Linked DNA regions of Drosophila melanogaster. The protein of the gene in region 2 interacts with the protein of the main gene of each other region in a pairwise test. Each region holds a gene or a part of one and is shown on either strand. Other genes may lie near its edges.

Region 1 (3,372 bases), on a different chromosome or scaffold from region 2:
TCAACGTTGGCGCAGTTTAGAAAAAAATAGGACGAGCTGAGGGCCGCCACGAGATCGTAGCATCCAGTTAGCGTTTCGTTCCAAATGGAGACGGATGCGAAGGCCAACGATTCGCACTGACTTATGGCAATGGCCTCCTGGTTATTGCGGAATGTGTGAAATGTTACTACTCCAGTTGGGTAACTTCCCAGCTTATCGTGCGTACAGTCACACACAAAAATGGGTGAAGCCATTGGTGGGGCAACCTCCGAAATGCAGGCCCTTATTATGTTAAAGTTGGAGGTGTGGCATTTCTCCAGTGCTGCCAGATAGCTAGGATGTTCGGCCACAAACTTACTAAGAGGATGTAGCTTAGACAGGATTCGCTCGACGATCTCCCCGCGAATTTTCTCTTCAACCAGAACCATGGCCACCGCATTCGAGGCAAAGGGATTATGAACCGACTCAATAATAAAGTGCAGTGCACTGTTGATGTCGCCTTCTTCAAATATAATCATCAATTGGGGAGATGAAGTGACATCGTGTCCTATATGCCGGTCAGCTTCCGATGTCATTTCGATGACACTGTGATCAGGTGATCTTCCCTCCGGGTTATGGACCATATCGTAGGTGACGACATGATCCAGTGACAAGGACTCATTGTGCTCCGACTGGGACGGATGCTCGGAATCAACTGAACGCGGAAAGTATTTAGTTGTATCGAACATGGCTTATCAAAAACTTCACTGTAATGTAAAAAATTTGTTTTTATATATTTTGAGATTTATTTGAATGGCAAACGCGATTGGATATGATTAAATGAAACATTTCTGACACATTTTCATATTTCAATTATTTTGTTATTTTTTTTAATCTACCAGGAATTCTAATATCACTTGAGTACTAAGTACTAAACCGCTCAATGCGGCGCACTCTGAGTCCTAACCATCGGCATTTATCAAAAGCAATATAGTTTTACTGGCCCCTTCCATCCATTGCCACATCGAGGGAATTCAAAAGAGCACCCATAACCCACGGTGCCCCTTATTTGTTAATCGCTTAATTTATGATCAAATGCGACAGTAAAATTAAAATATCACAAACAGATACAAAACACCAAAGTATTTAGCCATCGTCCAAATAGAATGCCAGAAATGCATTGGATTTGTTGAAATTAGCATTAATAATTATAAATATTTTGCCAAAATATTACAATTTTTATTGTGCATTTCGAACTACACCCTTTTTGACTTACAACAAAGAGCATACGATTATGAAATAACAGAACAGAGCCAACAGCGACAATTAAAATATTTAAAGCCACAGAAATATTTTTTCGCATGGCCCATTGGCGAACTGAAAACCCACAACAAAAAGTGCGTAGTAAATTTCCTAACGAGTTGAGGGACATCCATGTGGACATCAAGTGCAGCAACAATACAGCCATATACGGAATGATAATTTTGCTAACGATGACCATTTACATATATCAAGAGTAATTATAATAAAATGCCGAAAATAAAATTAAAATTAATATAGAAAGCCGATTATAAAATCATGTTTATACCTACAAACAGTTATCGCACACACTCTCATTCGTTGTAGCAAAAACAACTGTCAAAAATAGCAAATCCCATAAATCAACAATGAAATTTTGCCAGAAAAAAGGAATTGAAACACAAATAGAAAAACCTGCGTGATTTCGTATACATACATAATTGGGAAAACAAAAATTTGAATTTATGTGGTAGGCCATTATTTCCAGCTTCGAATATTTTGTCAATTTGCGTAGAATAAAATTGAGCTACGTATATTAAAATAATTCTCAAAATGGTAGAGGGCATGATAAAAAAGCTAACTGCTATTTTATTTGGGGTAAGTATTTAATCAGCAGCCCGTCTTCAAGTTTTTACTGACAACTTTTCTACACTTAGCTTGTATTGGCTGTGTTATTTCGAGTAATTATACCCTTTACTCTGCGACTTAAAAGCGCTGAAATAACCATTAATGTGCTTAACTGTTTTAATTTTCTAACAAGTACCGTTTCCATTACCATTTGCCTGAATTTGGTCAGCCTATACTTAGCCAATTTGCGTGATGATTGGCTTGTTCTCGGGGTAAGGACTTTACCAAAAAAAAAACGTGAGGTTGATAATTGTAAATTAGCTTATACCGCTGCAGATACTCGTCCTTCATTGGACTTACTTCACAATTTCAAAACAACTAGAAGCCATGAACAGGAGCTATAGTACATTCATGGATAGCTTAAACCTTAAATGGCTGGCATACTCCAATTTTAACGAGACAGATTGGCCTTCGATTGAAAATGCGGTATGTGTTATGCCTTTGCTCATTTGCCCTTTCAAGGGTTTTGCTTTTCACAGGTTTTATGCTGTGGACTGGAGGGTCCCCGTTCTTATATGGATTATCTACAAGGGGTTCCAACCCACTGCTACCATCCCGACCTTATCACCCAAGGTTGCAGTGACTTTGTTAAAAACATTTTTATGCCGATACAACATATAAGTCATTTGCAGCTCAGATTGGCTATTTTTGTGGAACTGGTAATTTTACTTATTCTTGCTGCAACGCTTTTGAAGAAATGTATTTCTTTGATCGGCGAAAGGAAACATAAAAGAGTTATTACACACGGGCTTGCGGTACTAATAGATTTAGTTAAAAACACATTTTGAAACATTAGCCTTATTAACCCTAACCAAATACTACTACTCTATACACTACCATGTAACCATTCTTGAGTACTAAATGCAGTTTCTTGTAATGTTTGTATTGTTTTAATCTATGCCACTGTATTGCATACAATATGTAGATGACAAATCGAAATGGAACAAAGAAATAAATTGAAATAAGCTGTCTTTTATTGCCGATGACAATTTGAATAAAATTAATATACAGTTTATCCTATTTTTAATTAATAAATGTCAAACATTTTGCGAGTATTGAGTATGAGTATTTAATTGTCTGATTTGTAATTTGGTTTTTTCCTGTTGTCTTTTTGTCATGGAAAATTGGTTTTGTTATAATTCGTTCGATGAGTACGAAAAAAGTTTCAAATGGCGAATGGAGTGGTAATAGGGTAGCGGAAACACACTTTGGTCTTGTGCAGCGGAAACGGAAGTGAGTATTAGAAGGCAAAATAAACTTTCGGAATGGAAAAACAATTCACATTAAGCAAAACGTACACATTTTTGACAATTCCATACCGTTATTATTGGTCTGAAAATGTACCGGTTTGCTTTTCCAAATTATAATTTATTGTCTTTTTTGGTTTAAAAATGTATATAGATAATATCAGGAAATCAATTGTGGAAAATGCATGAACGAAGGCGTGACCTAAGGTAGATGTATGAACAGTGCTTTCTATTAATTTAA
Region 2 (4,761 bases):
CATGCGGCACTGAGGACTGAACAGATTGAGCGAGCATAACGAGCTACACAGCTTCATTACTTACAATAGAAATCTATAACTTTAAATGAAGTTATTTTATATTTAAGAAACAGAGATAACAGTAATACAGCTGTAAGCTCTTTTCATATAATATTGTTTTAGCGAAATGCACCAGATCCATCATTGCCATTATTTCCAGTCCCACTGTAGGTATATATTTAAATAAAGTTTTTTGTTCGACCTGGCAAAGTTTGCAGCTACAAAATAGGCTTCATTGCTCTTTTGTCATGCCCGGCAGAAGCTGGCAACATATATAGTCGTATATCTTGGAGCTAAAATCAGTGGCACAATGAGCATATTGTGTGGCTAAAAAATTTAATGCTTACGTGCCTGAAATATCTACCGAGGCACAAAGGATGCGATTGCAATGTATGAAAGGGATATGTGAGGCGCATCGACTCTTCGGGCAGAGTTCATAAATAAAGCGTCCGAAAATCTCGACTTTTGGCTTGGTTTAAAATAAAAGTTTCTTGCCGTCGCCGGAAAAAGAGTGGAGAAATTGCTTTCGAAAATGCAGCGCTATAAAGAAAATCGTTTACTGATTTACTTGCTCTGCTGTTATGTGGGAAAGGGGGCAACTGGGGAGGGGAAATGCTGCAACTAATAAAAGTTTTTGCTCTTCGACGGCGCGTTCGGTGGTGTGCCACGCCCACCAACACACTCTCGCTTCCTGGCCATCGGTTGAAATGTTTGCTGTTGTGGCTTTTCAGCAATTTCAACGTACGTCCAGTGGGGCACAACACAAAAAGAAGAGTTCAATCCGCCCTGCACTTTAATAATGAGATTTATATTGAACCAAATTGATTGCCTCCAAGGGAGTCAATAAATGGACCAATAAACATCTCATTGATCAGGTTCTCCTCGAGCCAACAATTTTAGTGTCATCATAAAACTAGTGAATTGGGGAGAGGATGCGTGGAGCGACTGAAACACTCCCATTATCTTTCAAGTTCAAAACGTTAAATCGAGATGTACATATTTCGCAAGGGGATAAACATTAAAAAACAGTAACATTCCTCTCTAGCTTTGGAAATATATGTAGCACAAAAAAAACTAAATTTTAGACTCAAATAATCTATTTAAAATTTATAATTTTTAAAGAATACATTATTTGCTTCACTCTTCTCAGCTGCGTTATATTTTAATCTAGATTTGCGATTTGACATTTTCAGCATGTGTGGCCACCTGCTGATGGCTTACGGAGAACACATTTTACACATTTATCTACATCTATATTAAAGACGACACCTAGCGGTAAAATGAAAGACGAACTGCTTGAGGTCGATATGCACTGCTTTCAAGTAACGGTCTGAAAAAATATTTTGATTTCTGTTAAAACGTATGTACATACATGTAAATAGGATTTGTTTTTATAAATTAATAAAAATAAAATAAAAAAACTTAACTCAATTTATAATTACGCCATATGTTAAATTATTTTAGTGCTTATACATCTATGCTCATTGTAATTAAGTTCTATGCTTCCTACGTCTTTAAAATAAATATTTGATATAACCCAAAAGCATAAACAAAAAAAAAATAGCCACTTACATACACAGTTCGGTTTTCCACCCATTCGTGATTTCCTGATTTATTGACTATGCTAGTTAAAGCTTATTTATTAGTTTTTTGCTAATACTTGCAACTGAGAAATAAATCTAACCCAACAAGGCGTACTGTTGGAAAAACTACTCCTTTCGGCAGTATCATTTCCTGTTTTGGGCTACAACCTGCTGACCAGGCCGAAACCAGAGCTCAAAGAAACGCAATTAAACTGGCTAAGTAACATCGAGTACTCAGAACACCGCTGTGAAAAGCACTCAAGAAAGCCAGCCAGCCAGCCAGCCAGCGGAAGTGACATTTTGCCATTTTGCACATATTCAATTAGGTGGACTTGCTGGCGAGATAAATTGATTAATTTGCCTGTGCAAATCAAACAATCGCACGAGATCCAGCGTATAAATACAACAAGAACTCTGCATTCTAGAACCAGTTTCCAGCAAACAAACGTGTTGCCAAGTACTTGGCGAGTTATCCAAAAAGCCCACACCTTTGCTGCCAAACAATCAACTACCGGTAAGTTTTGAGTACCGTTCCTACGTCACTGGACCGAAAAATCTTAAGCCTGTCTCGAAAGTGTCACGCCCACAAATCGCTGCTTATGTGACGTATACGCCGCATGGTCTTTACACATTACTCATACGTTGGCGCGTGTTGCCAATTAGTTAGGAAACATACAATTTGTGGCGCATAAAATTAACATAACTACAGAATTTCCCACGATTTGGTTGACTTTTTTGTTTGTTCATTTTTCATATTTTAATTTGTGAGATTCGCTGGAATATATTTATATCGAAACCAGTTGGCAGCGTGTCCGGTTGGAGGCAGGACAAAAGAATTCTTATTTTATTTACATTTTACTGGGGCGAAACGTATTGTTGCGGCGGCATCTGGTCTTGGATCCGTTCTACGCTTTACATTTTAACCATATTTTTACTGCATTTACAGCGCCATTAATTAATGGGCTCGCCAGTCGCATACGATTTGCATTCATTACGATTTCAGTTCGATTCGGCTGTGTCCGTTCGCTTGACACTTCCTGATACTATAGCAGTTTTTCAAAAAGAGCTTTTCGCCGTTGCTACTTTCTTTCCCAAGTCCGGTGAATTTTTAAATGTGCTCTTGAAAATCGGGGAAATTTTTGTAAAGTAATGTTTCTTGGGGATTTGCCATTATGGGTTGGGTGCTTTACAGACTAATTTTGAAATCATCAATTTCTTCGATAACCACTCTTTTCAAAAAAAAAACTAAAAAAAAAATTGGTAATTAAAGCAAAAAAGTTTTTTGTCGTGTATAAGTCCACATTGGATATTCCATTTATTATATTAAATAAATTCCTACAACTCATTTATTCATCCCGCCCATTTAAAAGTGTCATAAAATCTGTTCAGATAATTATGCAAATTAAACAAACTCTTTTCTAAGGAGAACACATTTCAAATGTGTGTAAGTTTGCGTATCGCCCGCTACTTTGCATACGCTTACAAAATAAAATGGGTATTTGATTGGGCTCGAATCGATTTCGATTGGCTCGAAGACCTGACGTATTTTAGCGCCACTGGGGCTGGCTTGTCGTGTCGACTTGTCTCGCATCTGCGACCGGCTTCAATAGTTGCTTTTTTTTTATTTTTTTGCTGCCGTATCGGGCTTCTTTACTCTGTTAAGCTTTCGCATCTGCGTTTGGGCCGAGAGCATATGTATATAAAATAAGAAGACAAACGAGCGATAATAATTATTTCCAATCTGCTCTAGACAGACAACGGTCGCAAGCTAGTCAGCTCCCCAAACACATCCGTTGGAATCAAAGTACCAATATCACCATCATGAACTGCAAGCCCTTGATTTTGTGCACCTTTGTGGCAGTTGCAATGTGCCTGGTGCATTTTGGAAATGCATTGCCCGCCATAAGTCATTATACGCACAAGAGATTTGGTAAGCTATATAAATTTCCCTACTTTCTGTATGCTCTTGTACTAAACTACTATTTCTGCTTAATGTTTTCTTGCAGACTCCATGGGTGGCATTGATTTTGTTCAGGTGGGTTAGAAATTTAAGTTTTAGTGATTTTAATATAAATAAATATTTAACTTAAATCATATTGGGTCATTATTAAAATGATGTGAAAATGTACTTTCCATATGCATTCATTTGATCCTGAGATTTAAATATTAATATCCTTAAAAGTTCCACAAATTATATTAACAAAATTGTTTTACATATTTTTAATTTTTTATCCAGGTGTGCCTTAACAACTGCGTCCAGTGCAAGACCATGCTGGGAGATTACTTCCAGGGGCAGACCTGTGCCCTTTCCTGCCTCAAGTTCAAGGGCAAAGCCATCCCGGACTGCGAGGATATAGCCTCCATAGCCCCGTTTCTGAATGCGCTCGAGTGAAGCGATAAGAGGCGCCTCTTGTGCGATGTGCGGTGTGTGTGGCGGTGTGTGCTTTTATGGCCTGTGACTCAGGTGTGGATTTGGGTCAATGTGATGCTCAACACGATGCTCAAGTCTTGGCGATCTTGGCTGCTGATATCGACCACAACGATGATGAAATGACTTTTGCTAAACAACTGACTTTCTAGCGTGAAACCAAAGAGTTCCTATTAACTTGTAATTGTGTAGTAAATAAACAAATATTAAGAAAAATACATGTGTTGTGTTGTAACCAAAGTTGTTTTTGAGCATGAAATGGGTGTTAGTTAAATCTTTTAATGGATTGATGGAATTTTTATATCTTAATGTATTACTTACCATTATCGCCTAAGAAAAATTAAACATATATTGATTTTAAATTTTATTTAAAAAATACTTGCATATACAAAAACTTACATCGAGATATATTTTTAAAATTATTTATGTTTTCTTTTTTTTGATTGCTTCGATATGCTTTAACTTAAAGGCTCTATTTCTGCTATTTAATATTAATATATACAGAATGTATGGTTCATGCACGGAAATGCTGGAAAGAGCTCTGAAGAAATGGCAGTGTCATAACTACTGACTCGCTATAGAAATGCGGATGGTGAGCAAAGACTAGTTGAGGGACTAAGCAGTAAGAAGTGAAAAGATTTTGAACTATAGAAGACAGACGGTACAGGATATGGAGTCAAACAAAATGAATCGAGATTGTAAAACAAATCG
Region 3 (3,842 bases), on a different chromosome or scaffold from region 2:
TTCCCCTGGAGGAATTTACCGAAGAGGGACACCGTTACTATCTCTCCCTAATGCGTGGTGATCTGCAGGTACGACAGGGCGATGCCGTCTATGTCCTACGAGACATCCCCATCAAGGATGAGTCCGGCAAGGTGTTACCGACGAAGAAGCACACCTATGAAACGATCGGAGCCATTGATTACCAAGAGTGCGATATCTTTCGGGTGGAGCACTTGTGGAAAAACGAACTGGGAAAGCGTTTTATATTCGGACACCATTTCCTGCGTCCTCATGAAACTTTCCACGAACCATCGCGTCGTTTCTACCCCAATGAGGTGGTACGAGTTTCACTTTATGAGGTGGTACCCATTGAGTTGGTCATTGGACGCTGCTGGGTGTTGGATCGAACAACTTTCTGTAAAGGACGCCCCATGGAATGCAACGATGAGGATCATTGCTACATCTGCGAGCTGCGTGTGGACAAGACGGCAAGGTTCTTCTCAAAGGCCAAGGCCAACCATCCAGCCTGCACCAAGAGCTATGCCTTCAGAAAATTTCCCGAGAAGATTAAGATCTCCAAGAGCTATGCGGTAAGTTTAATATTTTAAATAATAATAACGCCAGTTAACTAATGAGCATTAATGTGTAGCCCCATGATGTGGATCCGTCGTTGCTGAAGACAAGGAAGCAAAAGACTGAATTAGACGTAGGAGCCGGGCCAACAACGATGCACAAGGTGTCTGGCAGGCAGGAACAGCATCAGGCCAAGATGGTTGGGCGAAAGCCTCGTGGGATCAGTGCCCCAGCGGATGCAACTGCTGTCCATGTCGTAACACCCGTGGCGCCCAATAAACAGGTGTGCAGAGTTTTGAACAAGTTTTGAAATCAATCTATTACAATTAACTTTGTTTTCAATCTCCCTAAAGATGCTTAAGAAGAGGAAATCGCGTTTAGAGAACGTTTTGATAACTATGAAGCTTAAGTGTCTGGATGCACAAACGGCACAGGAGCAACCCATTGACTTGTCATACCTGCTGTCCGGACGCGGCGCCCGGCAGCGGAAGACCCAGCAGTCCAGTAGCAGTTCTACGGCCAACTCAACATAACCGATGTAACGCGAGTAGATTAAGCCGTGTATATACGCCTAAAGTTAGAGGCATTGATTAATATTTATGGAACTTCAATTAACAATTAGCATTTAGCCATGTAAGATGTAACGGTGATAGTAGTAATCCTAAAGTGTACATTGTTATGAACAAACTTCGTGAAAGGACTCCGGTCCCGGCTAGGATGGAACAGATTATGAATTATGGTTAATATAAGGATTTATTTAAATACTAGTGCTTACGCCACCGCACCAAGCCCCCAATTTAGATGAATTTCTTTTGTTTTTAATTGTTTATATTGGCTCTCCATATTAATTTTGTTTTACAAAACTATCCCCCTCTCGTCTTTGCAATTGAAGGCGTTTGACTTTTGCATTGTTATTTTAAATTATTGTATTATGTTATGGCTGCTTAATTATGTAACACCCGAGTAGGACAACTTATTGCGCTATTAGTTTTTAGTTATTTTCCAATTGTTATTAACTGCTAACAAAAATTTTAAAAGTGAAATAAAAAATATATTTTTATTAATCAAAGCCGAATTTTAAATGAACCGCCTGTTTAACACAAGTGTTGGATTGCCTAACTGTCGCGTTATTCAACACTGCTTGCATGGGCGTAGTGAAGTTTCTGATTCGGGGGACTTCGAATTTAAGATTATGAATCACTTTGTTCTTGTATCGCAAAAATTCATTTGCTTAGAGTTTTTCTGCATTTTTTTTTGGGATTAAAATAATAATCCCCCCTTAAATGTGTTTGCTTACGCCCATGACTATGCAAACAGATGTTCAGTGAAGTTGAATTGGATTGAATTGAATCGGCCATGCTGTGTAATATATTTAAACGCTCGCTTCAAGCGAATATAAGGAATGTGAATAACTTAAATGTGCTGCGGTTGAGCAGTTCCAGTGGTCCCCGAGGAGAGATCCAGGACGCACTGGACATAGAGGCCAATCTATTCGGGAATTCAGATTTAAGGCATGAGCCGATGAACACGAGGGAAGCTTTACGCAAGAATCGATTTGCCGGTAGAAAACCAAAGGTGCCATTTGCCTCAGTTGCATCTCGCAACCTCTCAGCTCCATCTAATCCTGCACCACGAGTGGCTCCAACTCCCGCTCCAGTAATTAAGGACAATGAGCTGAATCTGGAGTTTGTGCGTCTCACTCTGCAGGATCCACTTACCAGCACCCTACTAACCACAGTGCGCTCCCGCAAGCGCCGTGATAAGAACCGGCAGATCATCGTCGAAGGCCGTCGTCTCATCCAGGAAGCCCTGCAATGTGGTCTCAAAATGGAAGTACTCCTCTTCTCCCAGAAAGATCAGTTGGCTCTGGTCAAGGAGGAAGTAGGCGTGGCACAGGTGGAGACGGGTACCAAGATTTACAAAGTGCCGCAGCACGACCTAAAGACGTGGTCATCGCTGGTAACTCCTCCCGGTCTGATGGCTATCTTCGACAGGCCGTCGGACAAAGGCTTGGAGAAAAACCTGGCGGAGCAACAGCGTCTGGGCTCTCAGCCCTTTCCCATTACAGTTGTGTGCGACAACATCAGGGAGCCCAACAATCTGGGCAGCATTATAAGGACCTGCGCCGCGCTGCCCTGCAGTCAGGTGGTGGTCACCCACGGCTGCTGTGATCCCTGGGAATCGAAGGCCCTGAGAGGAGGCTGTGGCGGTCAGTTTAGAGTTCCAATTCGGGATGATGTAACTTGGGATGAGCTCGCGCTAACCATTCCGCCAGAGGCGGCCGACGACTGTCATGTTTTCATTGCCGAGACCAACCAAAGGAAGCGGGAGAACAACCAGACCATTGACTATGCAGATATCAAGGGTCTTGGAGCCCATAACTTGCTCATTATTGGCGGAGAGAGTCACGGAGTCAGTGAGGAAGCTTACCGGTAAGGGGGGAAACGAATAAGTTATAAAATGGAATGCTAATTATGTTTTTATATTGTCAGTTTCTTAAACTTGGTTGGAGGTAAGGGAAAGTGCATCTACATCCCGCTGGCAGCTGGCATCGATAGCTTGAATGTGGCATCTGCTCTGACGCTGTTGCTTTTTGAACTGCGCCGAAAACTCATTCATCAGGCATCAGAAAAAGAATAAGTTTGGAATAGCAACCGATATAATTAAATGTATTTTCTTTAATTGTTAATTTCTATGACAAAGTGTATAAATCGCAGTTAAATCCCATCAATAAACTTGAGTATATTTGTTATGATCCTTTCGAAAATACAATTTTCATCTTGTGTCAGGCATAATATAAATTTATTGCTAGGCTGTTTCACAAATATAGTAATTAATAATTACATTTAATTCAACTATTAGCTTCGATTTCCTTGTAAACCTCGCGCTTATACTCGTCCAGACCACCTTCGATCGCTCTGACTGTGCGATTGCCACACACCCAGAGTTCCTTGCAGACGACCTTAATGAGGCGTTCGTCGTGGGAAACCAGGATTACGCCGCCCTAAGAAAGACAGTACACATGTATTTCATGGTGTAAATTTCCACTAAAGTCCACTTTACCTTAAAGGCATTTATGGCTCGGCCCAAAGCATCAATGGTTTCAATGTCCAAGTGATTAGTCGGCTCATCGAGCACCAGGAAATTTGGCTCCGCTATAAAATAAATATATTATGTTGATGTTAATGTTATTGAAAGAAGATGGATAGTCACTATCTTACCCATGCACATCTTTGCTAAGGCCACTCGTGATTTTTGTCCTCCAGATAAACTGGCAATGCTCTGCAGTG

Evidence for each region.
Region 1: the proteins of Eh (region 2) and CG31600 interact in a two-hybrid assay, tested with the Drosophila melanogaster proteins (one large-scale study listed by BioGRID).
Region 3: the proteins of Eh (region 2) and CG14100 interact in a two-hybrid assay, tested with the Drosophila melanogaster proteins (one large-scale study listed by BioGRID).

The regions. Positions count from the first base shown.
Region 1 is NT_033779.5:21,913,740-21,917,111, reverse strand, and holds CG31600 (uncharacterized protein), read left to right. Parts: upstream 1-1,753; 5' UTR 1,754-1,809; coding exon 1,810-1,854; intron 1,855-1,913; coding exon 1,914-2,096; intron 2,097-2,145; coding exon 2,146-2,310; intron 2,311-2,363; coding exon 2,364-2,672; 3' UTR 2,673-2,843; downstream 2,844-3,372. Other genes in the region: CG11634 (uncharacterized protein), read right to left, coding at 1-707.
Region 2 is NT_033777.3:17,446,142-17,450,902, reverse strand, and holds Eh (eclosion hormone), read left to right. Parts: upstream 1-2,044; 5' UTR 2,045-2,136; intron 2,137-3,372; 5' UTR 3,373-3,443; coding exon 3,444-3,552; intron 3,553-3,628; coding exon 3,629-3,657; intron 3,658-3,858; coding exon 3,859-4,014; 3' UTR 4,015-4,261; downstream 4,262-4,761. UniProt on the Drosophila melanogaster protein: Neuropeptide that triggers the performance of ecdysis behaviors at the end of a molt. It triggers adult behavior patterns: larval, pupal and adult ecdysis, and plasticization during the molt.
Region 3 is NT_037436.4:19,588,545-19,592,386, reverse strand, and holds CG14100 (uncharacterized protein), read left to right. Parts: upstream 1-1,862; 5' UTR 1,863-1,908; coding exon 1,909-2,984; intron 2,985-3,044; coding exon 3,045-3,192; 3' UTR 3,193-3,315; downstream 3,316-3,842. Other genes in the region: ash1 (absent, small, or homeotic discs 1), read left to right, coding at 1-569, 629-835, 906-1,085; CG9330 (uncharacterized protein), read right to left, coding at 3,404-3,556, 3,616-3,707, 3,774-3,842.